Linked DNA regions of Lonchura striata. The main gene of each other region encodes a partner of the protein of the gene in region 4 in a complex. Links are inferred from orthologs where the notes say so. Each region holds a gene or a part of one and is shown on either strand. Other genes may lie near its edges.

Region 1 (7,246 bases), on a different chromosome or scaffold from region 4:
TTTTATCTGTCATATCTGCCTACTTCAGACAGACAAATTTAATGACATTAAGGCTTCTGTGTTTATAACGCTCCTCTCTCAACAGAGAGGATTTCTATCTTTAGGTATTTCAGGCATTTTTTAGTGCATATCACACATTTTTACCCCAAACCCCCATATTGCATTGCAAACACATGATATATTTAATATTTCCCCTGCTGTCCATCACCATGCTAATGCCTGCATGGAGCACCTTGTCTTGTTTGGGACTTCTTTAACCATAACTATGATACTTCATCACAAATTATCCATTTCCACTGAAAAAAAAAATGGTTTTCTTTCCCATAATTCAGTGATCTATCCTATTTTTTTTAACAGACTAAAAAAACATTCCAAGAACACACTAAAAGTTCTGTTCAACTCTTATTTCTTTGTTATGCTGAAAAATTACCTGCAAGAAACTAGAAACTGCAGCATCAGTCAAAAGGTCAATTTAACAAAGAGTTTGCAAGTTTACTCTATACTTCAGAAATCAAAGAAAGTACTATGTTCTTGTGACATTGTGATTTTTAGGGAAGCCAGAGCTCCTCATCTCATTCATTCTATGCTGAGGTTCCCCTATCCCTGAGAGCAGCCAGAAATTTCACAGACACTGAGCCCAACAAAAATCAACCCCAGAACCCAACCTGGAATATTCAAATTTCCCAGAGACCTGCACATCTGCCAAACAACAAATTGTTTAAAAAATTGTACCATACTACAATACAGTGATTTTGTTTTTCCCAACGTTTTAGTTTAGCCACAATAAACAAGCTGGACAATTTACAAACATTTAACTCTTTTTACTGCATTAGCTTCCCTACCCAAACACAGAATCATCTTCAATCTTCTACTAATGTTTTCACCTCCCTTCCACTGCAGAACAACCGCCCACTTATTTTTTTCTGAAACAGCACCTTAATTACACTTGAAGTATAATTCAATATATACCTCCCCAGCACCTTCTTTGGTTGTAGTATGAAGACAGCAGTATCAGTGTGGAGGCATAATTTAATTAAAATGACTAAAATCAACGTGGGAGTGTCTGTAGTGCAGGAGTGATGCATCACCCCTCCCAGAACATCCAGGGGATAAATAAAAAGGAGGCCAACCAAAACATAATTATACTTTTTCAGATATATTAAGCCTGCTGTGCCACCAGCTTACACAGCTACTCTTTTAAAACAGAAGAGAATTACAAGGTACTTCATGATTTTAACCAAAGCCAGCCCACAGAATGCCACAAAATGTTACTGAGCTTAGAATGTAACAGAGGAAAAAAGTCAGGATGGCTGTACTGTTTTCCCAGAGATGAGTTGCTCACCAAAAAAACAACTGCCCAGAAGTGACAGACACTCATGACCCAGTGTTTTTTACTGTCTTGAAAAATCTAATTAGGTTGGATTCAGAACAAAACATGCTGGCGACTGACTCTGCTCTACTTAACACCAGCCATCCTTGTCAGCAATTACAGCACCAAACCTCTGTCTGCACCCACATGGAACAACAGGAACCCACCACATTCTGATCCCCCACAGCAGCAATAAATTCCACTTCCAGCTGAATTCAGCCACATTTAACTTCTACCTGTGGAGCTCTGTAACCTCAGTGCACTGTGCAGGTCCAGGAGGTTCCTGGGATAAACAGGGTGAGTTTAGGCTTTCCCCATTTTTCCAATCTGAAATGCTTCCCCTGTATGACAGTGCAAACCTACTGGCACTAATTTTGTTTTCTCTCAGATTATCTCCTTAGTCAATCACTCTGTGCAGAGACTGAAAAATAAAACAAGTCTTGTTACATCTTTGCACCACTGGTCTCCTATTCCACCCATAGACTTTTATCACCGTGTCTGTTGACTTTCTGCCAAATAAGTTCACCAAATCTCTTATTACACAGGTTTACTATAGTTAAAAACTATCTAGTGGCTCCTTGTGGAGATGCCAATCACACATCCACATCATTTTGCAAGGATTAATATCCAAACTCGAGCAGTTCCAGCACCAACTTCCCTGATTCCCACAGGAGTGACACCAGTGCCTTTGGACTGCACGTTCTGACACATCCAGTGGTTCTGCACTGTTAGGGTTTACTTGGACTAAACAGCAAAAATTCTGCTTCTCACAGAGCTCCCTTAGCACTTTCTGCACTTTCAGTGTTACACTTAAACGTGTTGCTTTCCTTTTCACATGTTCACTCGATGAGAAATAATACCAAACTTCTCCTTTCAAGAGGAAAGAAACTGAACTTCACATCTGATTTCAAGAAACATCCCGAAGAGTTCCCACCACTCAAACTCGAACTCAGCCTCCCTGATAACGCAAAACTGCCTTGTCAGAAGTCACATTTTGAGGATGACACTTCACACAACCACCTTCCGGCTGAGATGACACGGAAAATCTATGAATTATCGCTAAGGGGGTTAGGAAAACAAAGAGGAGCCGCGGGATGCCCAAGTCCAGGACGCTGAATTTCATGTGGCACAGAACGGCAGGTGCGGGCAGCGGGCTCCGCTCGGGCAGCCGCCTCAGCTCCGGAACACGGCTTAATTCCACCACAAAGCGCTCCACGCCTGCCAACACCGCCCGGGCGCCCAGCGGAGCCGCCCCGGCTGCCCTGCCCGGGGCTGCGGGCACCGCCAGCCCTGGGGTCACTCACCCGGGGCCCCGGGGCCCTCGCCGCCGGCCCGCCGGGCTCCCGCCGGCCCCAGGCTGTTGACGATGTAGTGCGAGACGCGGGAGCTCTCGGACACCGACAGCACGAAGTCGCCGGGGATGGTGCCCGAGTCGCGCACCAGGAAGGTGCCGTGGCGCTGCCCCTGCAGCAGCGATACGGCCTCGGCGCGGCTCAGCCGCCCCCAGTACCAGCTCGCCCGGTCCTCGGAGTCGAACTGCCCGGCCATGGGGGCCGCGCTCCTCCTCCCCCGCCCGCGGCCGCCGCCGCCGCCGCCCGCGGAGCCGCTCAAAATGGCGGCCCCGGCCCTGACCTCACCTACCGGACGTGACCGCACGCGGAGGCGTGACGTCATCTCCCCGCGCGGGCGGGGGCTCGGTGTGAGGGCGGGCTGTGAGGGGCGGGCGGGAAAAGCGGGAGTAGCGGGTGAATCCCGGCAATCCCGGCAATCCCGGCATCCATCAGCTGGGAAGCACCGCTGGAATCACCGGGTCCAGCCCGGGACTGGACTCCGCCCTGGTAACCAGATCGGAGTGCCGCGTCCGGTCGTTTCTTGAACATCTCCAAGCGCGGTGACTCCGCCACAGCTCTGGGCAGCCCGTTCCAATGTCTGATGACCTTTTCTGGGAAGAAATTCCTCCTGATGTCCAGCCTTAACCTCCCCTGACCCAGCTTGAGGCCGTTTCCGCTCGTCCTGTCCCTTGTTCCCTGGGAGCAGAGCCTGACCCCCTCACCTGGCTCCCACCTCCTTTCCAGCAGCTGCAGACAGCCAGAAGGTTCCCCCCTCTTTTCTCCAGGCTCAGCTCTCCTGGCTCCCTCAGCCTCTCCTGGTGCTCCGGATCCTCCCCCAGCTCTGTTCCCTTCTCTGGTCATGCTCCAGCCCCTCGATGTCCCTCCTGCATTGAGGGGACACAGCACTCAAATGTGGCCTTACCAGTGCCCAGCACAGGGGGACAATCCCTTCCCTGGCCCTGCAGCCACACCGTTCCTTGCCTACAAAGATGGGGAAGCATCTGGAGAGAAAATCTTATGAGAATGGACTGGGGTCACTTGCTTTGTTCAGCTTGGAGAAGAGGAGACTGAGGTCAGACCTCATTGTCGTCTTAAACATCCTTCTGAGAGGCAGCACCAACCTCTGCTCTGTGACCAGGGACAGGACTCAAGGGAAGAGCAGGAGCTGTGTCAGGGGAGGGTTAAGTTGGATATTAGGAAAAGATTCTTCCCCAGAGGGTGCTGGGCACTGCCCCAGCTCCCCAGGGAATGGCCCCAGCCCCAAGGCTGCCAGAGCTCCAGAAATGTTTCAACAATGCTCTCAGGGATGCACAGGAGTCTCTTTGCAGGGCCAGGGGTTGGCCTCGATGATCCTTGTGGGTCCCTTCCAGCTCAGTATATTGTGTATATTTTCATCTGTACATTAAAGGCTGCAGCTCGCTGTGTTTTCCTTCAGGGCTGTGCCAGCAGCTTCTGTCCTCATCCTCCCTGCCAGCCACATATTCCCACCCCACAGCTGTGCCAGCACAGCTGCTTTTCATGGGACTGCATGAATTGGGCCAAGGAGCTGTTCCGGGTTAAAAATAGCCCTGCAAAATAAAAAGTTTTGCTTTATTCAGGGCAGTTCACTGACTGCATTCCCACAGAGGTCTGCAACAGGGAAGAGCTTAGGTTCCACTGGTGCCACAGAGGAGCCATGTGTGTGTGGGCATGGACAAACTAAGAGTTCTATTTGTGAAAACAAAGCAATATGTACCACTTTTAGACTATTCTCCAAGATCTCTTAAATGCCAGAGTAATATCTGTCAACGTGTGTAGAATTCTGCTCCAGCTCTGCTCAGTTCTGTGAGCTTTTTTCCAGAAAGGAATCTGCTTTTTCAACTGTGTGGTCTCCCTGTTGCAGCACTTGCATAAACAATGTTAGAGCACTGCTATCCCTGACTCTGAGGGTGCTGTGCTCCTCCCTGCATCCAATATTCTGGTTTTTTGTAGGGCCCTGTAGCTGTCTCCTGCATAGGACTCTGGCATTGTGTCAGGTTCCAGGGTTGTACTAACCTCCACAATATCCCAGTGAGAAAATATTCTTCCTTACAGGTGGGGAGTCTGTGGTTCATCAAATCCATAAGAAAACACCAGGTGCTTGCTTTCAGCCTCACAAATGAACATCCTTCTTCTGCTGATGCTGTTCTCTCTCCAGATGGGCTGGAGCTAGGAGTGAGCCTAATCTTTTTGGAGGTCAGTCCCAGTTTCCGTGGTGATGTGTGGGGTTTGCTGGCCAGCTGCAGGAATAGCACACACACTTCCATGGGTTTTTCACGGGTTTGAAAAGCTGCAGATCCTTGCTGAGAGCCCAGGACGGCAGGAGAGTTAAATCATATCCGCAGGAACACGTGTCCTTTCTGTTCAGTGTTCACAGACCTCAAACAAACAAATCAACCAATACTTTTTTAGAGCAAAATTCACCATTTTTTCCTGATTCCTGCCAGGCCGCTGCAAAAAAGCCTCATTTTTTGAGGGCCCAGAGTCTGTTCTTTTTTCCCTCTCCCTTCCCGGTCCCCGTCTCCCGATTTCCGCCGATCCCAAAACTGCGGGAATTGGCGTTTTCCATCAGGTTTTGGTTTTGGTTTTGGCTCAGGTTGGGACTCCTGCTGCACGAGCTCTCTCTGGTGGTCAAAGCCGGGAAACCAATAACCCCTAAATCCTCCCGTGGGTGTTTTTATTCTGGAATGATTCCATAGGATTTTGGAATAGTTTGGATGGGAAGGGACCTCGTACATTATCCAGGTGCGACCCCGAGCCGTGGACAGGGACCTTCCTCTAGGGCAGGTTGAGAGCCCCATCCAACCTGGCCTTGATCGCTTCCAGGTTATCCACAGCTCCTCTTCTACAGTCACCTTCTCACCTTCATTATTTGTAAAAGCCTTTCCTTACTTGGCATTTCTGATAATAACTGGTAGCCTTTCCCAAATTTCTTTTTCCTCCCCTATTTAAGCTCTGCATCCCTCAGCAGTTTATTACCTTCGCCCCATCCCTGCTGCACAAAGGCTACAACAACGCAGAGCTCTTCTGCCTAAACCTGCTTCCTACAAGTTTGAAAACAATTAACATTTTAAGAATTCAGGTGATCTTTCACAGGCAGAGGGATTGCAGAGAGGAATGTGAAAGAAAAACGAAGCTCTGGGACACTGTCTCAGAAGAATAAAACTAAATCAGCTTGAAATGCCAAAGAATTCACTGCTAATTACAAGATCCTGAAAGGAATAAAGTACAAAATACTATGAAAACATTTTATTCACTCACCTAGCAGTAAAAAGCTCCAGTGGTACACAGGTTTGGTTTCCTTCTCCTGATTTTATTGTCCCTACCAGTTGGTCAGAGATTGTTTTTTCCTAAGAAGCTCTAAAATTTTGGCAGTGTCTAAAGCCACACTCAATCAGTAGAAAGTTTCTTGCTGAGTGCAATGAGTGAATCTTGAAAAGATGCCAAGTATGGAGGGCTGTAGTACAGCAATGTTCTGCCTGAGGTGACATCCAAGGGATGTTAAAACAAAATCAGGAAACACCTGGGTCAGCCCAAGGTTCATCTGCACTCTGCTGACAGCAGTGCAAGGTGACCTGGGGTCACATAACCTTGTCCCAACTGCTCCTTGAAGCGTTTGGCTTTGTCAAGCTGGTCTAGATCACATGGCAGTACTGTGTCCTACTTAGAAAAATAAAACTAAAGAAGTTCCATCTCTTGGTTTCTTTTCCCTGTGACCTAAGAAACAGCATTTCTTCCACAGAAATGTTTCCTCTTGCAATTAGTTCAGGCTCAGCTGCTCGCAGGGGGTGCCTGTGTCCTGTTTATTCCTTTCCTTTGCCTCATGTGGCCTGGAACCTGGCTTCACACCTGGCTTGGAAGTGTCACCTGTGCCAGGAGTTCCTACCAGGTGCTGCTGTGGGATGTCCATGCCAAATGTAGCACTTTTGGTGAACAGTGACAGAAGCCATTGTGTCACAAGCTCTGCGTGAAGACTTGAGAATAAATAATCTTGGAGTGAGTGATGGGTAGAACAATCTCTTGATCCTGCTGGATTTTGTGTAAGGGGAGGAGCCTTTGTGCTGCCAAGTGGGAAATGTCTTTGTGACAAAGTCTAAATTTGAATTTTCCTGGGATGTGCCATCAGCTGTGAGGGAAAGTTAAGCATCCCAGGGGATGGACTGGAGGGGGTTTATTTGTAACATGTGCAGAAATGAGGTGTGGAGCAGCGTGAGCTGGAGGGAAGGGTCCTGCAGCTGGAGAAGTAACAGGAATTCTTAGTGGTGTGACAATAACACACAATGACAGTGGGATGTGGCTGTGTAGCCCGGCAGCTGTGGTGTGAAATAATGATGCCAAGGCAGGAGCAACTCTTCAGCTAGACCAGGATTCTGGTCTGCTGTGTGTGAGGGAATGGAGCTGATTAGTGTCAGTGGGGGAATGAATGTCTCATGGGGACTGATGAAAGCATGTGGTTTATTTAGGCCAAGAAGAGGCAGGGCTGCTCTCCTGGAACAAGCTGAACACCTTGGGATGAGGGGACAAAGAG
Region 2 (6,885 bases), on a different chromosome or scaffold from region 4:
TAAGCTATTGACAAGAAGCAGAATTGGAGGCGCCTTTCAGCAAGTGGTCCAGGAAGCCACAAACCTTTCACCCTAATAGACCAAGGGAAGGCTCTAGCAGGGTGCTCTGAGGTCTGATTCTCCCATGAACCATGCTCATCCTGAACTAGCACCAACCCAGAAAGGGACTGTCTTGTTTGATTTCATTCATCAATTTCCTGACTTTAAATATGGAAATGATCAGCTCTAAGATTTTTTTTTTCTAGATTTATTTTTGTGTTACTATATCAGGAATGTTTGTAAAGTACAACTTCTTTTAAGTTCAGGATATGTCTCCCCAGTGAAATGATACTCGGTTTATAAAGTACTAGGCAGAAAGTTACGATAGTAAAATGCTAACATTCTTCAGAGCAATACACAAACTCTGCTAGGAACTTGAAGTCAAAGTCAAAAGTCCAAGTCAAGTTAAATGTTTAAAACAGTTCTATGTCACTAAAGCAAGGGGTCTTAGAAATTTGATAGCCTAACTTGGACAATTTATTAACTCCTTAGGAAATCCAGCATAGATGTGGTGTTCTCAACACAGGGAACTGTTTGTCAGTAATCCAAAGTGAAGTTTTAGTTATGTAGGGGGCTTTCATGAAAGCTAAGAAAACACTAGTGTTAGTTTTCTAGTTAAGGAGTATTTTCTCTTGTTTTGTTTTGTTTTTTGGTTTTTTTGTTGTTTGTTTGGTTGGGTTTTTTTTTTTTTTTTTTTTTTTGTTTAAGGTGCTGGGTGTCTTCGCTGCTCAAAACGGCAGCCAAATGCAATGCAGATAAAATGTATGTATTTCTCTAGACACAGACTAAAAAACCCAAACATGTGCCTCTACTGTCACTACAGACAAGTAGGCTTGTTCTTTAATGGAAGTCTTCATGAAGTTTCCTGGTGTATATTTTTTTAAATATTGCCATCAGCCTGGCATATTTCAAGAGCCTTTGCCTAGTCTCTTGAAAGGAATGTAATTTCAATGGTTCCTGCACCAAAAATTGCACTCCAAAAAGAAGTGGATGCAGTGTGGCACAACAGCCACAGCTTCTCACTCAGGGAAGGACAGAATAGCTACCTGATCTTGAGCAAGCAGACATGATTGATCAGAAGAGTGGCACCATTATAAAAACAAGTGTACTCTCATCCACTCTTGTACTTGGGGCAGAGAGACCTGACACCAAGCATGGCTACACCTCAGAACATGAACATCCCCATGGTTACTAGAACAAAATACTCTCAACTACCACAGCAAAGCATAAGCACTGAGAGGATAGAACGTATCTTCAAAACTATATTTAGTGTCATTCTTTCCCATAATAATTGAGGCCTACAATCTTTAATATACTCTGACCAGCTCTGTCAATAAGGTAATTCATCCTCAGTGCCAGGAAGGAACAAGACTCAAAGGACGAACCCTTTGCTTTGGGTTAAAGACTAATTTTTGCCTTTATCAGAAGTCATGTCACACTTCTACCTGTCCAGACCCACATGTTCTGAGATCAGCCACTGCAGATCCAAAAGGAAAGCCTCTACTGCTGGAGTCCTGACAGGCATACAACAAACATTTCTGCATCTCAGGCAAGTGGACAGTGTCCAAACCGAGGCTGGAACACGATGCTGCACACCTGGACACTGCCTAACTACAACGTGCAATGGCACAAGCTGCTGGGAGGACTGGTTTCACAAGCAAAATATTCACCTTTGCTAACATAACAGCATAGGCACTCAGACAATGCCTGTAGTAACCAGTGAACACACACCTTTGCAAGGATGCAACCCACCTACTGGGTAAAATGAAAAATGAAACTTACAGGCACATTCCACAAAATGCCCCAAGAGAGGGTATCAACAGGGTGAATCAGTCATCAATGAGGAAAAATGCTTAGAAGAGCATGGCATTCTGCAAGCTGAAGGTCTTACTGCCAAGCTTTTTCTACCTGTCTTAGGTGGAATCAAGGTGGCTCTTAACACTGTTAAGGAGTTTTGTTTCTTTCTAAAAGGAGATTTCAAAACTGGTTTTTAATGAAGCCACTACGATAAGAACTGGGTATCTACTCATTAGACAACAGGATGCCAGGGCTGTTGAGAACTTCGCAAATAATTTGCGTGTTACCATTTTGCAATGCCTGACGTATCAGAGGCATTTCTTGTAGGAATGGCACAGCCACGGGCTTGCACTGCTCTGCCCTGCAAGAGCCTGGAAAAGCACAGGCGGGTGCAAGATCCCAGCACGGCACAGCACGGGCGGGAGAGACCAACAGCAAGAGGAAGGTGTTCAAGGGTTTTTCTTAAACATACGTTTGGGAAGTAAATACACCCCTCTGAAAAGAAATGCCCGGTTCCTGCACGGTCTCTCCCCTCATCCCAAGCACTTAAGAGTTGCAAAGGTCTAAGATAAAGTTATAAAACTAGAAAGCAAAGGTTTAATTTTATAATCCGAAATTCCGAAGTAATAATCCAAAGGTTACCAAGTTACAACCTGAAGCTACAGTCATAACTCAAGTTACGAAGTTAAAACCCAAACCCATACCTGTAACACCAAGTTACAGCACTAAAACCCGAAGCTCGACCTCTAATCTAAAACTCCCGAGCTGCAATGCGGAATTCCGGCTATAATCCATTCACAAAGTTACAGAACAAAACGCAGCCCCGTGAAAACCTGTTCAAAACCCAGCCGGAGCCGACTGCGAGCTAACCTAAAAGGAGGCGGAGCGCCGCGCGCTGCCGCAAGAGTCTGCTGGGCGGGTTTTACTTTGCCTTCAGCTTGCATTTTTAGTAGTAAACCGAGAAAGCAGCAAGGGAGTGGGAAATTAAAAAAAAATTAAAAAAAAAAAAATAATAAAAAAAAAAAACACCAAAGCAGAAAAAAAAAACAAAACTACGGAAAGGTCCCGAAACGCCCCCCAGGACCCCACTCACAGCCGTAGCGGGGCCGCTGCAGGGACGCCAGCTCCTCATGGTGCATCCTGCCGCCGCCGGGAGGGACGGCGCCGGTCCCCGCCCGCCCTTCTTATGCGGGCCGGGCCCCGCTGATTTGCTGCGGCCGCGGCCGCGCCGCCCCGCGCGGGGCCGGGGCCACCGGGGCGGCTCCGGCGCGGCTGGGGCCGCGCGGGTGCGCGGGAGAGCCGGGCGGGGGAGCGCGCGGAAAACAAGGGAAAGGGGAAAGGGAGAGTGAGAGAGGAGGGGGAAAAACAAACTAACAGAAAAGCACACGCCAAGATTAAAAAAAAAAAAAAAAATAGGCAGAAAAGCGCCAGGTAGAAAGTAGAAAAAGGAGGGAAAATAAAGCAAAACGTAACAAAACAAAACACGCCCCCCTCCCCCCCCCGAAATAGACCACAAACAAATCCCCAAAAACAACAAAACCCCAAGCCTCAAAGCAAAGAAAAAAAATCAACCAAAAACTCCCCAAAACCACAAAAACAACACAACAAACTAAAACTCAAGAAAGCAACCAAAAGGCAAGGCCCAAAGCAAAACAAAAACAACAAAAAACCATAACAGAACAAAAATACCCAACCAGAAAACCAAAAAACACCACCCCAAACCACCAAACTATTTAAATAAACCAAGTTCCACAGTAAAAGGCCAAGGACTCTCCCCTATGGTGTTTTGGCAGGGCGGACTCTGAAGAGAGGTGAAGAACCAAGTCTAAGACTCCCTCCTGTAATTTTGCCGTTTTGAAAAATTCTCACACCCCACAAGCAGTGTTTCTGCCAGACCACAAAGCCATCACCATGACCTGCACCTTTGCAATTGGGTGTACTGAAACAGATTTTTGGAGTTCACTTAAGTTAACAAAATGAATTAAGCATTTATATTCTAGCTTGTAGAGTTACATGTTGAATTTTAACCTTTTACTTAAGAAACCTCTGCCTCAGGAGCACGGACACAAGCCACGGTTTTTAGGGTTGCTTTAAATGCCACTAGCGAATAGCGCAGCTAGTAGGGGCATCATACAAGTTAAGATTTGCAAGTGATGCTTACAAGCATCGCTGGTTAGTAAAGGACAAGATCCAGCTAAAAGTAACCAGCAAGCCCAACTGGGCTAAGAGTTAAGTGTTTGTTGAGAGATAACACTGCCCTTCAGTGTTAAAAGCTGTCACTGAAAGATCCTTGCAGTACAGGGTTTGTTGCCTGGTTCTTGCGGCAAGTGAGAGGTAATTTGCCCACACAGAGAGAGAAGGAGCGTCCTTAGGAGGGATATACCAAAGTTCAACAAGTTGCTGTGTAGCCTTTGACTGAGAACAACCACCAGTTGAACAGGTGCTGAGAAACCCCTTGAGGTGGGGTCCAGGAGTGGTAATCTCCTGTTTCGTGTGCAGATTGACAACCTTTTGCTGGAAGCCAGACTGGCACACAGCTTGGGTTCTCCTCCAACACTTGAAGTGTCAGAGGAAGTAGTATTGTATTTCATATAAGCAGAGATCCACATGTTGTGCGTGTACCCCTGAATTATAACCCAGGAGTTGAACAAGCAAAGTGTAAAATAGTTAATTTAATCTGTATAAAAAATCACCTGGTCCCTGAAACCTAGGACATGTTTGAAGAAGATTAAGAAAGGATAAAGGAGTGACCCAGCCTTAGTATTAAAAAGAAAAATGAAAGAAATATTTTTCCTTCTCTTTCCTCCCCAGTGGTTTGGATTGAACCCTTAAGAGTTCGTAAACTTATGTGGCACTGGGCAAACAATAAATTAACAATGATTGATGGTTAATTAATTAATACAATAATAGTCTAATATAAAAACTATTATTGATTATTAATTTGGCTATTAATATTTTATCTAGTTATTTGATTAACTATAAATTTATAATTATTAAATTTCATAACAACAAAAAAAATCTTTCTTTTTCCCTTTCATTTGGCTCATAAGAGATGAATATTCTGTAGTTATAAGAGCAACTGGCCAAACTGAAAAGGCATTTTTCTTTAAGCCACTAAAATAAAGCAATGGGAGCTCCACAAATTTCCACATATGCCCAGTTCCCCTGAGCCACTTTTGGGCTGAGATTTGCTGAGACAATTACAGACAACTATTGCATTTAACAATGGGGAGATGACTCTGGAGGTAAATGATCAAAAGTATGTAGAAGTATTGAGTTTAATACTAACCACTAGCGAAGTCATGAGAAAAACTGAAATTGATGAAGAAATAATGAATCAGGTATTCCCTGGGGTATGGGCCTCTGATGTACCAGGGAGAGCGAAAAACACTCCCCCTATATAGATCAGACTAAAAGAGGGAAAGCAACTTGGCAGGGTTAAACAGTATCCCTTGAGGTGGGAGGATAAGGAAGGGATTAGCCCAGTAACTGAGAACTTTTTTCGTTTAGGATTATTAAAAGAATGTCAATCTGATTTTAACACCCCTACCCTACCAGTTCTCAAACCTGATGGGTCATACCGGTTAGTACAAGATCTGTGAGCTGTGAACAAGGTAACTGGAGATCTGTATCCTGTGGTGGCCAATCCCTACATGTTATTAACTTGCTTAACACCAAAACTAACTTGGTTTACCATTTTAGATTTAAAAGACTCTTTCTTTTGCCTTCCTATCCACAAAGCCAGCCAGAAAATTTTTGCATTTGAATGGGAAAGTCCTAAAGGCAGACAAAAAGCTCAGTTTACAGAGACCAGACTCTCTCTCACAAGGATTCAAAAACTCACCTACTTTGTTTGGAGAACAACTTACAAAAGAATTAGAGACCTGGGGAGGCCCTCCAGAGGAAGAGAAGCTGCTACAGTACGTAGATGATATCCTGATAGCCACACAGACAAGAGAAACATGCGTGGCCTGGACAGTAAGCCATTTGAACTTTTTGGGGCTCCAGAGATACCAGGTATCAAAGAAAAAGGCCCAAGTAATAAAACAAAAAGTAGCTTTTCTGAGTTACGAAGTCAGTGCTAGACAACGTACCCTGGGCCAAAGCCAGAAGGAAGCAATATGCCAAACCCCAAAACCTCAGACTGTAAAGGAACTATGAACTTTCCTGGGGATGACGGGGTGGTGCAGGTTATGGATCTATAACTACGGACTGTTTGTGAAGCCCTTATGTGAACTGATAGCAACCGAAAGCAGGGACATCCAATGGACAACGAAAGCAACGCAAGCTTTCAACCAACTGAAAAAAAAGCCCTCTTGTCAGCTCCATCTCTGGGATTGCCAAACATGAGTAAGCCTTTCCTTTTGTTCTCCCATGAGAAACAAAGAACCGCCTTGAGAAAATTTGCACAAGACCTCAGCCTGTACCGGAGAGCAGTGGCATTACTTCTCTAAGCAATTGGATGCAGCAGCTAAAGGGTGGCCTGGATGCCTCAAACCTGTTGCAGCAGTTGTACTGAACATCCAGGAGGCACGTAAATTCACCCTGGGCCAAAAAATGACTGTGCTAGTGTCCCACACAGTGTCTGCAGTGCTAGAGGTGAAAGGCAGGCATTGGCTTTCCCCACAACGAGTCCTGAGATTCCAAACTATCATGGTGGAGCAAGATGATGTAGAGATTGTAGTGACTAACACTGTCAGTCCAGCCTCCTTCCTCAGTGAAAACCAAGGAGAGCCAGTGGAACATGACTGCCTAGAGATCATTGAGGCCACCTATTCCAGTTGCTCTAGTTTGAAGGACACCCCTCTCAAGAGTGCAGAAGTCTGGTTCACTGATAGAAGCAGTTATGTCATCAGTAGAAAACAACACGCCAGGTATGCAATTACTACCTGCAAGGAGGTAATGGAATCTAGGCCAACAAATACCTCTGCACAAAGGCCTAGATAGTTGCTCTAACTCGGGCCTTAGAATTGGCAAGAGGGAAAGAAATAAACATATATACAGACTCAAAGTATGCATTTGGAGTCATGCATGCTCACAGAGCCATTT
Region 3 (7,020 bases), on a different chromosome or scaffold from region 4:
GCACCAGGAGACACAGAGCCACGGGGAGAACCCTGATTACTGCCCAACAGGCCACCAGGAGTGACACAGCCAGTGGCATCCCTGTCCCTCCGCTGGCTCTGGACACCTCAGGAACACCAAGGGCACAGGGAGCACAGACTGGAGAACTTCGCCCAAAAAAACGTGACCTGGAGCAGTGCCCATCATCTCCTGCAATTTCTGCACCTCAAGGAGGATCAGGAGGCAGGGAGGTGACAGTGTGTGTACAACGTGACCAGGTGTGTGTGTGAGGTGACCAGGTGTGTGTGTGAGGTGACCAGGTGTGTGTGTTGGAGGTGGACAAGGCAGAGCCCTTTCTCAACACAAAACCCTCTGAGAGCCCAGCAAACACAAGCTGGCACCCATCCATCCCCTCCAGGCACAGCATCCCCTCGCTGAAGGGACTCCAGAGATGCTGGAGCAGCTCAGGACAGCGTGTTTGAGGTGGAAAACATAAACCAGTTGGTGTCATGGCACTCAGGGTGAAATCATGGCCAAGTGTGCTCTCCTGGTGGTTTGGAGGGCCAGGGCTCCCTGCTCTGGAAGAGAACAAAACTTCCAAACACGCAGAAGGGACCTCTCCCACACAGGAGTGGGCACAACCCTCCCACTGTGAGGAGGGAAACCTGAACACAGCCACTCACTGTGTTCATCAACATCCAGACCAGCCTTGGGAATTTCAGCAGGGATATGGAAATTGGGATTGTCAGCACAGCCCTCAGGACCTCACCAGGGCTCAGAGTGTGCCAGCAACGCCCGTGCCAGGCTAATTTCTTAAGACAGCACATAAGGAAGGTGAGATTTAGTCTTACAACCTTCAGCATCTCCTTCTTCATGCTCCCATCTCCTGACTAATCCTCTCTCCCCACAGAAAATATTCCTCATGGTTTTTCCCCTGATCATTCCTTTCTCGTTAATCCCTGCACTTCTCCAGCCTACCCCATTCTGGGCTTTGAGCAGTGGCACAGTCATCTCTCCCTCAGAGCCACAGAGAAAACAAAATAATCACAGCCCGGCAGTTTATTCTTTCATGAACTGGTCAGAGATTTCCTGGAAGCTGCAGCAACACCAGCAGCCATGCCTGGCTGGCTGCAAGAACAGCATGAAGGTGATTTTTGGGGCTGTTTGGTCCCATCTCGCAGCTTCTCCCCAAGGTGGGGGAAAACCGTCCCAGAGCACATTTGTAGGGACTGCCCACCCGCATGGCCAGCCTCTCCCTCCAGCAAAGCTGCAGCACTCATCCTCCCAGCCTGAATTGAAGTCCACCTCTAAAACCTTCCAAGCACCTCAGGAAACGACAGGCTGGGTGCTGTTATCTCCCGTATTTACGTTACACGTTTCTAAGGCTGCCCCGAGTGACGTCTCTGCCTTTCACAGATCCCATCCATCACCATCCCCTAACCCAAAGCCACCGATTTCCTCCCGCAGACCGCGCAGGCACACGGGGCCAGGAGCCCTTCTGGTAGTCCCAGATGAATCCAGACTGGATCCTGAGCCGTGTGCTGCCTGCGGGAGCATCTCCCATCCCCGACAAGAGCAACGCGACACCGGGCTTTTTTTCCACTGTGCCTAATAATCGTAACATCTCACTCGCCATTTGGCTCGTCAGTGGGGGTTCCTGACTGAATAGGCTTATTCTTTTCTTAGACATGATAATCTAATTGGGTCTAACCAGAAATAATCCCCAACACACAGCGGTTGGGAATCCTCGCCCAGCGCCCGGGAGCGGCTCCGGGATGCGGGACGGGAATGACCCGGCAGCTCCGGGCTCCCGAAGCATCACGGCGGGGCCGGGCATGGCACGCACATGGAGCCGCTCGCCCTCCTCCCCCAGCTCCCGTTCCACACGCAAACGTGGCTCCAAGGAAAAAAAAAAAACACGGCAGAGAGGAGATGGAGCCGCGCTGCCGGGGTACCCCAAAGGCAGCGGGAGCTTTGCCCAGGGAAAGAAAGCTCAGCCCTTCGCTGGGAGGTGATCTCAGAGCCACCCGTCCGTGCTGCTGAAGTGAAAACCCCGGCACGGTCCGGGGGAGAAGCACCGGGGAGTCCCCCAACGGGGGGGACAGGAGCGGGGTGTCCCGGGGGGAAAGGAGGGCGGCATCCCCAGGAGGAGAAAGCCGGGGGTGTCCCGGGGGGCACAGAGCGGGGTGTTCCCGGGGGGCACAGGAGAACGGTGTCCCCGGCAGAGCAGAGCCGGTGTCCCCGGCAGAGCAGAGCCGGTGCCCCGGCAGAGCAGAGCCGGTATCCCCGGGCTCCTGGTGGAACAGAGCGGGGTGCTCCCGGGCTCCCGGCAGAGCAGGACCGTGTCCCTGGGCTCCCGGCGGAGCAGAGCCAGAGTCCCCGGCGGAGCACAGCCGGTGCCCCGGCGGAGCAGAACCGGTGCCCCGGCGGAGCAGAACCGGTGCCCCGGCGGAGCAGAGCCAGAGTCCCCGGCGGAGCAGAACCGGTGCCCCGGCGGAGCAGAACCGGTGCCCCGGAGCGTCCCCGGCGGAGCAGAACCGGTGCCCCGGCGGAGCAGAACCGGTGCCCCGGCGGAGCAGAACCGGTGTCCCGGAGCGTCCCCGGCGGAGCCGCTCCCGCTGCGCTCCCGCTGCGCTCCCGCTGCGCTGGCCGCGGGCTGCGCCCCGCCGCCCGGCCCCGGGAGCCGGCCGGGCCGGGGCACGGCGGCCCTCGGGGGGGCTGCGGAGACAAAGAGCCGCGGCCCCGTCCCGCGGGCGGCACCGCCCGGCCGAGCCCACCTGCGCCCGGCCGCGGCTCCCGAGCCAACTTTCCGCCGCTCCCCCCGCCCGCGGCCCCTCCGCGCTGCCCGCAGACAATGGGGCCGGCGCTCACCAGCACCACGGCGAAGCGCTCCTCCAGCTCGCCGGGCTCGGGCATGGGCAGCTTCAGGGGCACGCCGTGCGCCCTCAGCTCCGTCTGCTGCGCGTCCACGCTGCCCGCGTTGCCCATGGCGGCCGCTCCGCGCTGCTCCGCGCCCCGCGCCGGGCGGGCTCCGCGCCCCGCGCTCGCCCTCTACCACCGCGGGCGCTCCGCCGCGCCGCCGCCCGTCATGGCTCGCCGCCCTCGCCCTCCTCCCCCCGGGGCGGGCTCGCTCCGGCTCCGGCTCCAGCCCCGGCTGCGGCTCCCCCGCATGCCGCCCGCACAAAGCCCCGCTCCGCCCCCGGCCCGCGGCGCCATGGGACTCGTAGTCCCGCCGCCGGCCGCGGGGAGGGAGGCGGGAGAGGGCGGTGGGAATGCCTGGAAAAGGTGGAAAGGAGTGGGGAAATGGGGGAAAGGGGTGGGGGACACCCCGCCGCATCCATTTTGCCTCGGCGGCCGCGCTGCTGCCGGCCGGCAGTGAGTGGACGCGGGGAGTGGATTCCAGCGAGGGCAGGGGGAGAGCGGAGATTCCGGAAAATCCTTCCCTGGCAGGGTGGCAGGCCTTGGCACAAGTGCCCAGAGCAGCTCTGGCTGCCCCTGGATCCCGGGAAGTGCCCAAGGCCAGGCTGGACAGGGCTGGGAGCAGCCTGGGGCAGTGGGAGGTGTCCCTACCATGGCAGGGGTGGCACTGGGTGGGCTCTAAGGTCCCTTTAAACCCAAACCAGCGTGGGACCCTGGTGCTGTGATTAACTCTAGACCTTTGCTGTGGACAGCCGTGGTCCTGCTGCTCACCAAAACGGCTGTAGGTGCTCAAGGACAGTGGCCCCACCCGGTCGCCCCAGCCCCCATCCCGAGTGACTGAAATCGGGACAATTGGGGTGACTGACCCCCGTGAATTCGCCACCCCGACACATCCGTACCCGAGCTGAGGCTGCCTGGGTGTACACAGGAGGATCATCCACCCCAGCATCTCAAGCCTGGCCACTCCTCGGGCGTTATCCCCCATTTCTGCAGTGTTCCCCGGGTTTCAGCATCCCAGGGATGCAGGGCTGCACGGGAAACAGGAGCCTGGAACCCTGACCCTGGGAGATGCCATCAGCTCATTTGGTGACTGTGCTGTCCTCACTTACATCTGGCTTAATCCCAAATCCAAGACCTCATTCCCTCCTGTCAGCCCCACCAATCCATACCCCACTGTCCCCTATGAGCATCCCATTATCCTTCCAGGGAAGAACGATTTTCACTCGGCTCTCACCTTCACACCACTCATGCTGCTGCCTCTCCTCCTGGCCATGGAAACTATCCACATGGAGATTAATTTGGGGAGAAGAGCAAAAGGATAAGCATCATAGTCTGGGAAATGACCATTCCTTCATTTCCATTCTCTGGGATCAGGGCTGTGCCAGAGGCACGGCTTGGGAAGTGCCGCAGAAGCGACGTGCTGGGAATCCTGTGTGGCAGCACACGCAGTCCTGCAGGGGAAATCCATGGAAGTGACAGGCAGCTTTTCTCCCTGAGAGCTCTAAACCCACTACTAATTAAACAAGCTCGTTCCAATTAAAAAAAAAATAAGTGTCATACATCCATAACTGGGATGGGGAGGAACTCTTTGTCCTGGCTCACTCCCCACCTTGCCCACAGAGCATCAGGACGTGGCCTGGGCCCCCGAGCGATGCCAAAGGTTTGGATTTCCCACTCTGCAGGCCCCAGGAACAGCTCAGAATTTCATAAACTGCTTTGTTAAAAGCCCGAAAACCTTGCAATATCCTTGGTAAACAAAGGTTTGAACCCCGGAGAGCTGTCAGGAGTTAACAACGACGTTACTGTCGCGGTAATAGATACTTTGCCCCATGTCTTTTATCTATCACAATTCTTTGAAAGATTAATTAGTTCATTAAGCTTCACAAGAGTGCTGTGAGATAAGGCAGCCTTAGAGCACCACTGATAACAGGAGGGCAGGGAACAGTGATGAAGACAGTCCCCAGCAGAGGATCCTTCCCTCTCCCAGCAGCAGGGCTTTTCATGACCTGTGATGACAAACTCGCTGCAGTGTCAGGAATCCCAGGATTTTCCCAGTCAATAATTCCCACCATGGAAGCACTCAACACTTTTCTGATGATCCTTGTGGATCCCTTCCAGCTCAGCAAATTCTGGGATTCCCTGAGTCACCTCAGCATTTTTAAGTCCCTCTGGACACCAGGAGACCTTCAGGGATGGGGAGATGCTGCTGGCCACAAATACCTGGGACAGGTTGGGAAAATTGCAGGATAAACTGGATTCCTGGGCTCCAGCAAGAAGTCAAAGGCAGCTCTAAATCCTGCTATGAGGCATATTCAGGTCAAAACTAGCCTTGCAAAATTTTTAATGAATTTAGGCATCCTCACACACAGCGAGCATTTGACATCAATGCAGCAGAGCAAAGAAAAGAATTCTTGTAAAGGATGAGATGATTTTTAAGCAATTTGTTGTTGTCTCTAACTGGGATGTCGACATTTGCAAATGCCAAAATTAGTGTGGGTAAGTAAAAAAAGGGACTTAGCTGGCTCGTGCAATGTAAAGAAATTATTCTGGGATTAAAACTAATAAACAAGAGCTTTGTTTTCACATTTTATTTATTCAAATAAAAGAAGCAGCTCACAGTGTGCAGTTCCCAGAGCTCATCCCAGGCACCTGGGTGATTCACACCGGGTGATGCCAGCAGGGAATTCTTGGTCTGCCCCGGGGTTAATGGCCATACCAGCTTTGCAAGGGCTCCCTGCCATGAGCGTGTGTGGAATTTCACTGGAGAATGAGATTTCTCAGCCTTTCCTCAAGGTCTGTTTGTCACCAAACTCTCCTCATAACGAGCTGGAAGTTATGGCCGAGTCATTCCTAAATTCCCCTGACCCAGCTGCTCTGTTTGTCACCAAAATCTCCACGTAAAGAGCTGCAAGTTTGGGGCTGAGTCATTCCTAAAATCCCCTGAACCAGTCTCTACTTACTTATCTAGAGAAAAACCTTTGAAGGGGAAAGATTGATTTGTGAACCCTCATTTTCCCTGATGCTCAGCACTTCCAGAGGGATCCTGAGCTGCCTTTTCTGTGAAGTTCCAGGTGATCTGATAAAAGCTGGAGAGGCTTTAATAAATAGCCAGACCCTGCTCAGCAGTGGCCAAGGATGCTTCACTCATAATAAAGATGTAGAGCACCCATAAAATCCATCCCTGAGCTGAGCAGTGCTCGCTTCACATGAGGTTATTGATTGCAGTTCGTGCATGCTGAGCTTGCTTAGGAGAGGGGCTTTTCTGTAACAAATGGAAAAAATATTTTAAAATCCTGTTCTGCTTTCTGAGGGCAGCCTTCCCAAGGGAAATGAGCTGCTGCAGAAGCTGCAGGGTGGAAGTGCTCAGTCCCAGCACAGCGAGTGCTCAGGTTCACATCTACCCAGCCCTTTCAATTTTCTCGGGGTGCTGGAAATTAAATGATGAACTTTGGAGCTGATTTCCTCGTGCCCTGCTCTGGCCCTGCTGATGTCCTTGGGCATCACTTCCAACACTGGCGTGGATCAGATGCAGCTCCAGCAGAGCCAAGTGTGGTGCTGTCACCGGCGTCCCACCTAACCCTGCCCTGATCCCTTGTCCCCCATCCCTCTCCAGCTCTCCTGGAGCCCCTTTGGGCTCTGCAAGGGCTCTGAGCTCTCCCTGGAGCCTTCTCCAGGCTGAACATCCCTCCAGGTGTAAACTGAGTTTAAAACAAGCTGCAAAGCTGGGCAGGAGAATGCCCAAGGAGCGCTGGGACGTGAAGATGAGTTGCAGGACATCTCCCCACGTTGCTGCCATCGCTGCTGAGCAAACCCAGCAGCAGCCGGGGTTATTTCCTGGTGGGACTCAGCCTTGCCAGGAGCTCCTTCAGCATTTCTTGGCAGGAAGGCAGGCAGACAAAACACAGCCTCAGAATTCCCAGCAAGGCCAGGAATCGCCAGTGCTGAGGCAAGTGAGATAATGGAGCAGAAAACAGGGCTGGGGAAGGAGTCAATATTTAATAACACTGCAATGTGAGAGCAGAGCAGCACCGAGATGCAGCCAGAGGCTGGGGGAGATGCTGGATGGAACAGGGGCCAAAAGATGCCTCTGTTTTCCCTGTGGAATGGAGGGGCTGGAGCTCA
Region 4 (6,841 bases):
CAAACAACCTCAGAGAGGGAGAACTTTTGTGCCAAGCTTCAGCCCTTGCAAAAACTCTGGGGAAAGGGATTTTTTTTACCTACCACTCCTAATGGCAGTCCTTCCTGAGGGATATACACTTAGCTTGTATCGTGTCAAACCGTAATAAAGTGTAGGGTCTGGGAGAAGCCAGATAATTAAATGGTGACAGGCTGCAGAAATGTAAAGGTACTTTAAATTTCTCTTAAAACTTTGCATAAAAGCTTATCTGGTCAATAAATTGTTTTATTTGTCATATATTAACTATTGAATATAGGGTGCTTTCACCTACATTTAATGTAAGGGAGTGAAAGGAACCAAGGAAGAAGACTAAGTGGTTAGAGAGCTTCTTGCTACCTGAAGCACCAGAAACCAATTCCACTTCCATTTGATTTGACAGAACTTTCATCTTCTAAAATGAGAAATATGTCATTCTTTCCTCAGCAAAGAATCTTTTCCTAAAGAGCAATGATAACTAAACCCTCTACAATTCCTCCTAACTGTCTCTTGCTCCAGAAACTCGTATCATAAATTCATGATGGAGCCAAATGACAGCAGGAGAGCTCAGCTCTCCTGACCACAAAGGGCAGGCAGAGGAATGAGCAGGATCAAAAACACAAGCCCACAGACAACTTTTAAAAGCTGTGAGCACTCACATGGGCATCAAGCAGATTATACACATCTCACCTGCAACATCTTACACAAACCTCAGCTGTAGTGCAGCATGTTCATTTATTGTCCGAGTCTTCCGGAGCTAACAGCAGAGCTGGAACCCAGGTACACCAACCAACCCCCATGGTAACAAGAGAGCTGCTGAAAAGGTTTTAATTGTAAGGTCCAGCTATCTATGCTCATAAAACTTGGAAAATTACTTTAGTACTACATCTACATTTTAATGAAAAAGAAGCTTTACATCAAGATTAGTGGCTAGCTTCATGCTGCACTTTCCATCAGCCTCACACAGGGTTTACAGCAAGGAAAGCCCACAGAACACTTATAAGAGAAATCCCTGGGAGCTTCACAGGGGCTCCATTTATGTTTACCGTTGCCTTTTAGCAGAATGACAGTTTCAGTTTTAGGTACTTCACACTCTAGAGCTTCCAGAGCTTTTCTATTTAAACAGTAAAAACATCATGAACTTCCCAGTCATCAGTTTTAGGCAAACAACCCTAAAGCAGAGCACTTAATGATTCAGAACATCAGTTGCAGGTCATGAATAACCAAGTTCAAAGTATGCAAATTTAGTGATTAAAATTTCTGCCTCGGATATGTTACCAAAGTGAAAACATGTTTTATCTTGCACCACAGTAATTTTTTATTCCTTGCCAAGACTTAGTTTTTTTGTTGTTGTTGTTACTGAAGCATAAATGAGAACAGTTTAAACACCAAACCATTTTTACAGTCGGCAATATACTTATTCAAACCATACATGCCTAAGACCTGACTCAAATATAGTTGCCTATATTATCTTCCTCAGAACCTTACACTAACAAGAGTACAAAGCAGAAGTTTACAACAGAAGGGAAATTTAGAACAGCTTCTTCACATACAACTTCCTCACATTCAGCCAGCTGAATATAATTTGCTTACAGAAAAACAGAAGCTGTAATGCTTTACTGAGTTATCCCAATCAGCAATACAATGAGCTTGATGCAGTTTTTAAATGCCCCTTCCGGAAAAAAAAATAAAGCTTTTGGGCGCTGCAACTCAATATTTTGAACAGCCCACACCTCCTTTCCTGGGAGAGAAGCACAAAGACAATCATAGATGGCCAGACCAAGCAGCCAGTTCTGATCATCCAGTTACCATGTCTGATCACTCAGTTGCCATCTAACACGGCCTCTTTGCCAGGGCTTGTCTTCCTCATGCTGCTGTCAAGACAGGATCTCTGGCTGCCCTGGCCACAGCATCCACACAGAAAGGACAACAGGAATCCCGACCATTCTTTGTTAAGCATAGGTTTCCAATGCTAGGTCTTCACAGCTACCTGGCTCTGCAACTGTCTCCTACTGCTGTCACCAGCTGCAAGTTCTATCTACTTACAGATACGGAACTGAAATCTAGATCACTAAACCAGACCTTTAAAACAGAGACAGGAGTTATGATTCTGCAGTATGTACATTTTTATGAGATTTCCAAGGAGAATGAAAAACATATGTCAACACCAACCTTTGAAGCAGTGCTAGCTCCTGGCCCAGCTACAGCCAGAGGCATCACGATGTAACGAAAGCTGTGGGACAGCTTTGGATAACCCACAGCACTGCAGCTCGTGAGGCAGATACCCAGAAGAGTCTGCGACTTCTCGACTGAGCGCTGTCTGTGCAGGGCACATAGCTAGAGCTCAACTCCTCGCCATGCCCACACCCCGCTGCGGTTCAGGGCTGCTGTGCCCGCAGCCCCTCGAGGCTTCTCCCACAGCCCCGAGCGCAGCCGGACTGCACCGAGTGCGGAGGGCCGCGGCTGAGGCCGGGACGGGCAGGGCGGGGCTGGGACGGGCAGGGGCAAGGGAGTGCGGGCGGGCCCCGCCATGGCTGCGAGAACGCTTCCTGCGCCGTTCCGAGGGTCCAGTCCGACGGCCGCCCGGAAGCGGGGGAAGGGTGGGCAGGAGAAGCGGCGGCCATGCCGACCACCTCAACAGACCAGGCCCACAAAGGCAAGCGTCCGCCAGCAGCCACCGGGACCCGCCGGGAGGAGGCCGCCCTTCCCCCCGGCAGGCGGCTGCCGGGGAGGCCCCGCACGCACAGCGGGCGCCCCGGCCGAGGTGAAGGCCAGGGCTCTATTGGTGGGTGCGCGCGGAGAGCAGAACCGGCCGGAGGTCCCGGAGCTCGGCCGGAGGTCCCGGAGCTCGGCCGGGGGTCCCAGTCCCGTCTCCGCCCCCCTCCCCCGCCCCCCCACTCTCACCTCGGACGCTCCGCCGGGCGTTGGCAGCTCAGTGCGGGGTCTCCTCGGCGCAGGCACAGGGGCAGTCGATTGACGTCACCGCGCAGCGCGCTGGTGAGGGGCGTGCCAGCTAGGACGCCCCCTGCCGGCCATGCGCCGCGGCTCGCAGCGCGCTGCGCGCAGCGTCAGGGGGCGCGCGCGGGCACGGCCTGCCGGATGTGAGGTTCGCCGGCACAGCGCCCAGGCTCCCTCTAGGTTTGGTTTGGTGTGGTTTGCTTTTTGTTTTTTTTTGTTTTCTTGTTTTTTTCGTGGTTTTTTTTGGTTTTTTGTCTTTTCTCCCTGGACCTGAAGCCGACATAAGAAGGGCCAAAGATCCACAGTTCATCCTGTTGGGGCACTCCTCATGGCTGGGAGATGACACCCCAGAGCAGAGGGTACTTATGGCAAGTTAAATCCCCCTAACCACCCCCATCATTCAGGAACAAGAGGCCGGAAAGAAAATCTCCAGGCACAACTACTTTGAGAAGCAAAGCAAAAATCTGGCCTGAAACAGTAAACTACAGAGCAATTCAAATATTAAAAGTTGGAAAAAGCTGCAAGTACCTATGCCAGCAGCTTCAAGTCACCAAACACTGTCTCTGGAGAGCACATGGAATAGGTCAAACCCTCAAACCATCTTTGCATTGGACTTCTTAAATGAGCCCTGGTCCATCTGCATGGCCAAAGACAGGACACAATCCACTCTGCCCAATGTAATGGTGTCAGAAGCATATCTGTGCCTTCTGCAAATATTCCACATCCCTGGGGATTCTGGAAAGAGCCACTGCCTTCCAAATATGCTCACTGCTGCCCGGAGCACTCACAAAAGAGCAAAGGAAGAGGAACATTTTCAAAAGAATTTTCAAGATGAAATCATGAGTGGATATCAGTGTCTCACTGTCTCTTCCAGATGATTTTCGATGAAATCCCTGCCCTGTCAAGCACAAATGTTCCAGCTGGGTAGAGGCTGAGCCGAGTGGATGAGAACAAGAACCTGGAGAGACCCTGGAGTCTCCCACAAGGCACCATCTCATCATTCCTCCAGAAACTCATTCTTGATGCAAGCATCACATGAGGCTCCACCTCAACCAGCTTCATCCTTGTCTGTGTTCCAGATTATGTTTTGCTTTGGCTCTAGAGCACCTTCCAGTATTTCTGATGATGCCTCACAGTTCTTTGACTTTAATTACACTTCAACAGTGCATAAGCAATATTGAGGGAATGGTTCCCCCTTTCCATCAACTGCTCCCTGCACCAGCCTCATTCCCCACTTCCCACAGTGCAAAGGAATGAGGATGCCAAGGATGAGGATGACTATGAGCTCATTACCTCCATGTCCCGTCTCTTGAGGCCTCCTTTGTCTTTTCACAAGAGAAAGACTTGACAGTGCCTAGAAGAACTGCAGAATACTAGTGACTTGTGGGCTATGGAGGGCCAGGGGTGTCTGCTAGACACACATGACATCCCACCATAAGCTACAGAGGTCCACAACCACCACTCCTCAAGCCTCTTGTGCATGCCATGGTACAGATATTAATGATGGAAACAGATAAAACCAGGGCAAGAATCCTCACTTCCCAGAGGAGCATAAATCAACACACGTGAACCACACAAAGTCCATGCAGTAATTAACTTTATCCCTTCCAAGTTAAGATATAATACCATGCAGTAAAATCAGACTCAAGGCAGTGAAACAAGCAGAGAAAAACCCTGTCAAATTCAGCACCTGTAACTTGTTACGGAATTAATTATAGCCTGGTCTAATACTACTACTACTAATAACAAATTCCTGTTAATATGTCCTTGTGCTCCAAGTGAGGAAAGATATGGAAAAAAAAGCCTCATATTGAATCCAAGGAACAGGTTTCTGCCAAACAGAGGCTCAGCCATGCGGGGATGTAGGTGAGCTACTGCACCGGACAGAGCTAGGAGAAGAAAATCTGGGACAAAAAATCCTGGGCTAGGGAGCTGCTCCAAACCTTCCAATCCTCTGTAACACCAGTAGGAAACAGCTCTTCCCATGAGGAACTGTCACCGCCAGCAGCCTTGAGCATCTCCCAAGGCAAACTCCCAGTGCATGGGGATGAGGACAGAGGAATGCTAGAGACTTGAGGTAAGGCTGTGTCCTGCAAAAGGGGAATAAATTCCAGCAATGGCAAAACACAGTGACAGTGCTGGTCCCCAAGGATCTTGTTTTTGTAGATGCGCTCACAATCAGGCTCCACCAAGAAGCATGAAATCCATCCATAGCTGGCCCAGATCCCAAGGTCAGAATTCAGCTCCTACAAGTGGTCCCCAACTCTCCCATGTTGCCCATGGAGGTGGCAAGGTGATTGTGTACATGCAATGCCTGGAGTAGCATACAAGATCATCTTGTCATGTTAGAAAAGTGAGCAAGTCATGGGAGAATCCAACCAGATCTAATGTTACATACCAGGATCCAACCTGGACATCCTCTCTGTCAATAAATTCCAACTTTGGCTCCTCACAGAAAAGCAGGCAAGTTCCTGAAGAAGCCCTGTGTGGCTTGGCAGAGGGAGGATATCTCCTCAGCAGCTCTGATCTTTACTTCTCCCTAGTTTTTCTAGATGGAAAAATTACGCTGGGGGTATCCTACTAGCTCCACATGCCACTAAGTCTTCCTGGCAAAGCTAAAGGTATTTTTGCCACGCAGGAAGAACACAGGGCCTGTCTTGGTGGTACCTGTGAGATCATGGTTTATTTTACTCTCCCCACTGCTCTGGCATAAAGTCATCCAGTATCCTGCCTCTACCTAGCAGCTCATGCACTCAAATCCAAGGGGGAATGCATGAGGATGTGAAACACATCATCTGAAGAACACCTGAAGCCTGCATGGCACTTTTGGGGATGCTCTTTCCAGAGAAAAGCTTCATGTTCCCAGCTCAGGGATTCAGACCAGCTAGGACAGAGACCAGAAGACTCATCACAGCAGACCCTTTGCATAAGCTTTTGACCACTCTTTCCAGACCACAGAGCTCTCTAAACATGTACATTTTAATAAGGGGGAAAATCCAGCCCTGAGATCATTACCTGATACATTCACAGCGAGGTACACCAGAGCCAGGCAGACAGGAGATATTATTTTACAACATTAGCACATCTGCCCCAAGCATTTCTGCTTTTTGCTCCAAGCACTCTTGGAAGTCACACCTCCTGGTATCATCTGCCTCTTACTACAGCTTGCCATAGGTCAATGAAGTAAATTATTCAATTACTAGAAAGTCCAGTATGACTGAATGCAGAATTAAACTTCTTAAAGCACAAAAGCAATCAGCATTTTTGTTTCTTGGTCTATTTCCACCCTGCCTTTGGCAGCGTACAGGTACTCTGTCCCCTCACTCAGGGACTCTGCTCAGGGGGTCCTGTGTGGTCACTTGGTCACACCCTGGAAGTTGAGCTCCATGCACAGGGGCAATGCTGCCGGCTGGCTCAGCAGCTTCTCCAGGACAGTTATTTCAGCATCTCGTCTCTCTATGTTCTCAAACGGAGTCCAGGACATGTCATGCTGGAGCTTATAGGCACCAAGAAATTCATGGGGAGTAGTACCCCATTCCTGGTGGAGAAAAGAGAGATTCCATCAGTGTTCAGGTTTCCTTGGAGCTTGGCTGTGCTGTCTCTCAGCCCTACTACCTTCAAAGCAGTCCCAGCTACATGACCATACCATTTCCTAACCTAAATACAGGGTCAGATACCCAAGTCCAAGATCAGGTCGAGCTCTAGCACTGCTGACAGAGGAAGGCATGTGGACACAAGATCTCCCTGACCTGCCCTGAAACTTCCACCTTGCATGTAAGAAAACAGGTAGTCTGGAAGGAGGAGATTTCCAAGATCATCTCTTCAGCTGCCTGGGCTGAAGTACCTGAAGAGACCCTCCTGCCAGGCA

What was found.
Region 1: CDC42 (region 4) and CRK share a complex: the UniProt entries of both Homo sapiens proteins name them as parts of the collagen stimulated complex. The link is inferred for Lonchura striata from reciprocal best matches to the Homo sapiens genes CDC42 and CRK.
Region 2: the proteins of CDC42 (region 4) and IQGAP2 are in contact, whole or in part, in a crystal structure (PDB 5CJP), measured with the Homo sapiens proteins. The link is inferred for Lonchura striata from reciprocal best matches to the Homo sapiens genes CDC42 and IQGAP2. Residues at the interface, in NP_001034891.1 of Homo sapiens: Gly12, Ala13, Ile21, Thr25, Asn26, Lys27, Phe28, Pro29, Ser30, Glu31, Tyr32, Val33, Pro34, Val36, Phe37, Asp38, Tyr40, Phe56, Tyr64, Leu70, Gln74, Gln116, Leu119, Asp122, Pro123, Ser124, Thr125, Glu127, Lys128, Lys131; in NP_006624.3 of Homo sapiens: Gln893, Thr894, Asn924, Tyr925, Ser927, Asn928, Gln929, Arg930, Glu931, Glu932, Arg976, Gly977, Asn979, Gln983, Asp1067, Leu1068, Leu1069, Pro1070, Tyr1071, Lys1191, Phe1192, Asn1193, Lys1196, Tyr1197, Leu1200, Val1201, Thr1202, Val1203, Ser1204, Lys1205.
Region 3: the proteins of CDC42 (region 4) and FMNL2 are in contact, whole or in part, in a crystal structure (PDB 4YC7), measured with the Homo sapiens proteins. The link is inferred for Lonchura striata from reciprocal best matches to the Homo sapiens genes CDC42 and FMNL2. Residues at the interface, in NP_001034891.1 of Homo sapiens: Val36, Phe37, Asn39, Gln61, Glu62, Asp63, Tyr64, Asp65, Arg66, Leu67, Arg68, Pro69, Leu70, Pro73, Ser88, Glu91, Asn92, Lys94, Glu95, Lys96, Pro99, Glu100, Thr102, His103, His104, Pro106, Lys131, Asn132, Lys133; in NP_443137.2 of Homo sapiens: Ala41, Met42, Asn43, Leu44, Pro45, Lys48, Leu52, Tyr55, Lys59, Glu62, Leu63, Asp66, Gln67, Arg69, Phe70, Lys73, Tyr79, Arg108, Glu109, Ile112, Ser113, Leu114, Arg115, Thr116, Asn117, Ile119, Val122, Asp219, His222, Met226.

What each region holds. Positions count from the first base shown.
Region 1 is NC_134622.1:6,727,388-6,734,633, reverse strand, and holds the start of CRK (adapter molecule crk), read right to left. Parts: upstream 3,002-7,246; 5' UTR 2,918-3,001; coding exon 2,674-2,917; intron 1-2,673. UniProt on the Homo sapiens protein: Involved in cell branching and adhesion mediated by BCAR1-CRK-RAPGEF1 signaling and activation of RAP1.
Region 2 is NC_134642.1:13,539,324-13,546,208, forward strand, and holds the start of IQGAP2 (ras GTPase-activating-like protein IQGAP2), read right to left. Parts: upstream 3,012-6,885; 5' UTR 2,976-3,011; coding exon 2,930-2,975; intron 1-2,929. UniProt on the Homo sapiens protein: Binds to activated CDC42 and RAC1 but does not seem to stimulate their GTPase activity. Associates with calmodulin.
Region 3 is NC_134610.1:1,541,042-1,548,061, forward strand, and holds the start of FMNL2 (formin-like protein 2), read right to left. Parts: upstream 3,001-7,020; 5' UTR 2,968-3,000; coding exon 2,851-2,967; intron 1-2,850. UniProt on the Homo sapiens protein: Plays a role in the regulation of cell morphology and cytoskeletal organization. Required in the cortical actin filament dynamics.
Region 4 is NC_134626.1:8,463,702-8,470,542, forward strand, and holds the start of CDC42 (cell division control protein 42 homolog), read right to left. Parts: upstream 3,013-6,841; 5' UTR 2,920-3,012; intron 1-2,919. Other genes in the region: C24H1orf50 (uncharacterized protein C1orf50 homolog), read right to left, coding at 6,329-6,511. UniProt on the Homo sapiens protein: Plasma membrane-associated small GTPase which cycles between an active GTP-bound and an inactive GDP-bound state. In active state binds to a variety of effector proteins to regulate cellular responses. Involved in epithelial cell polarization processes.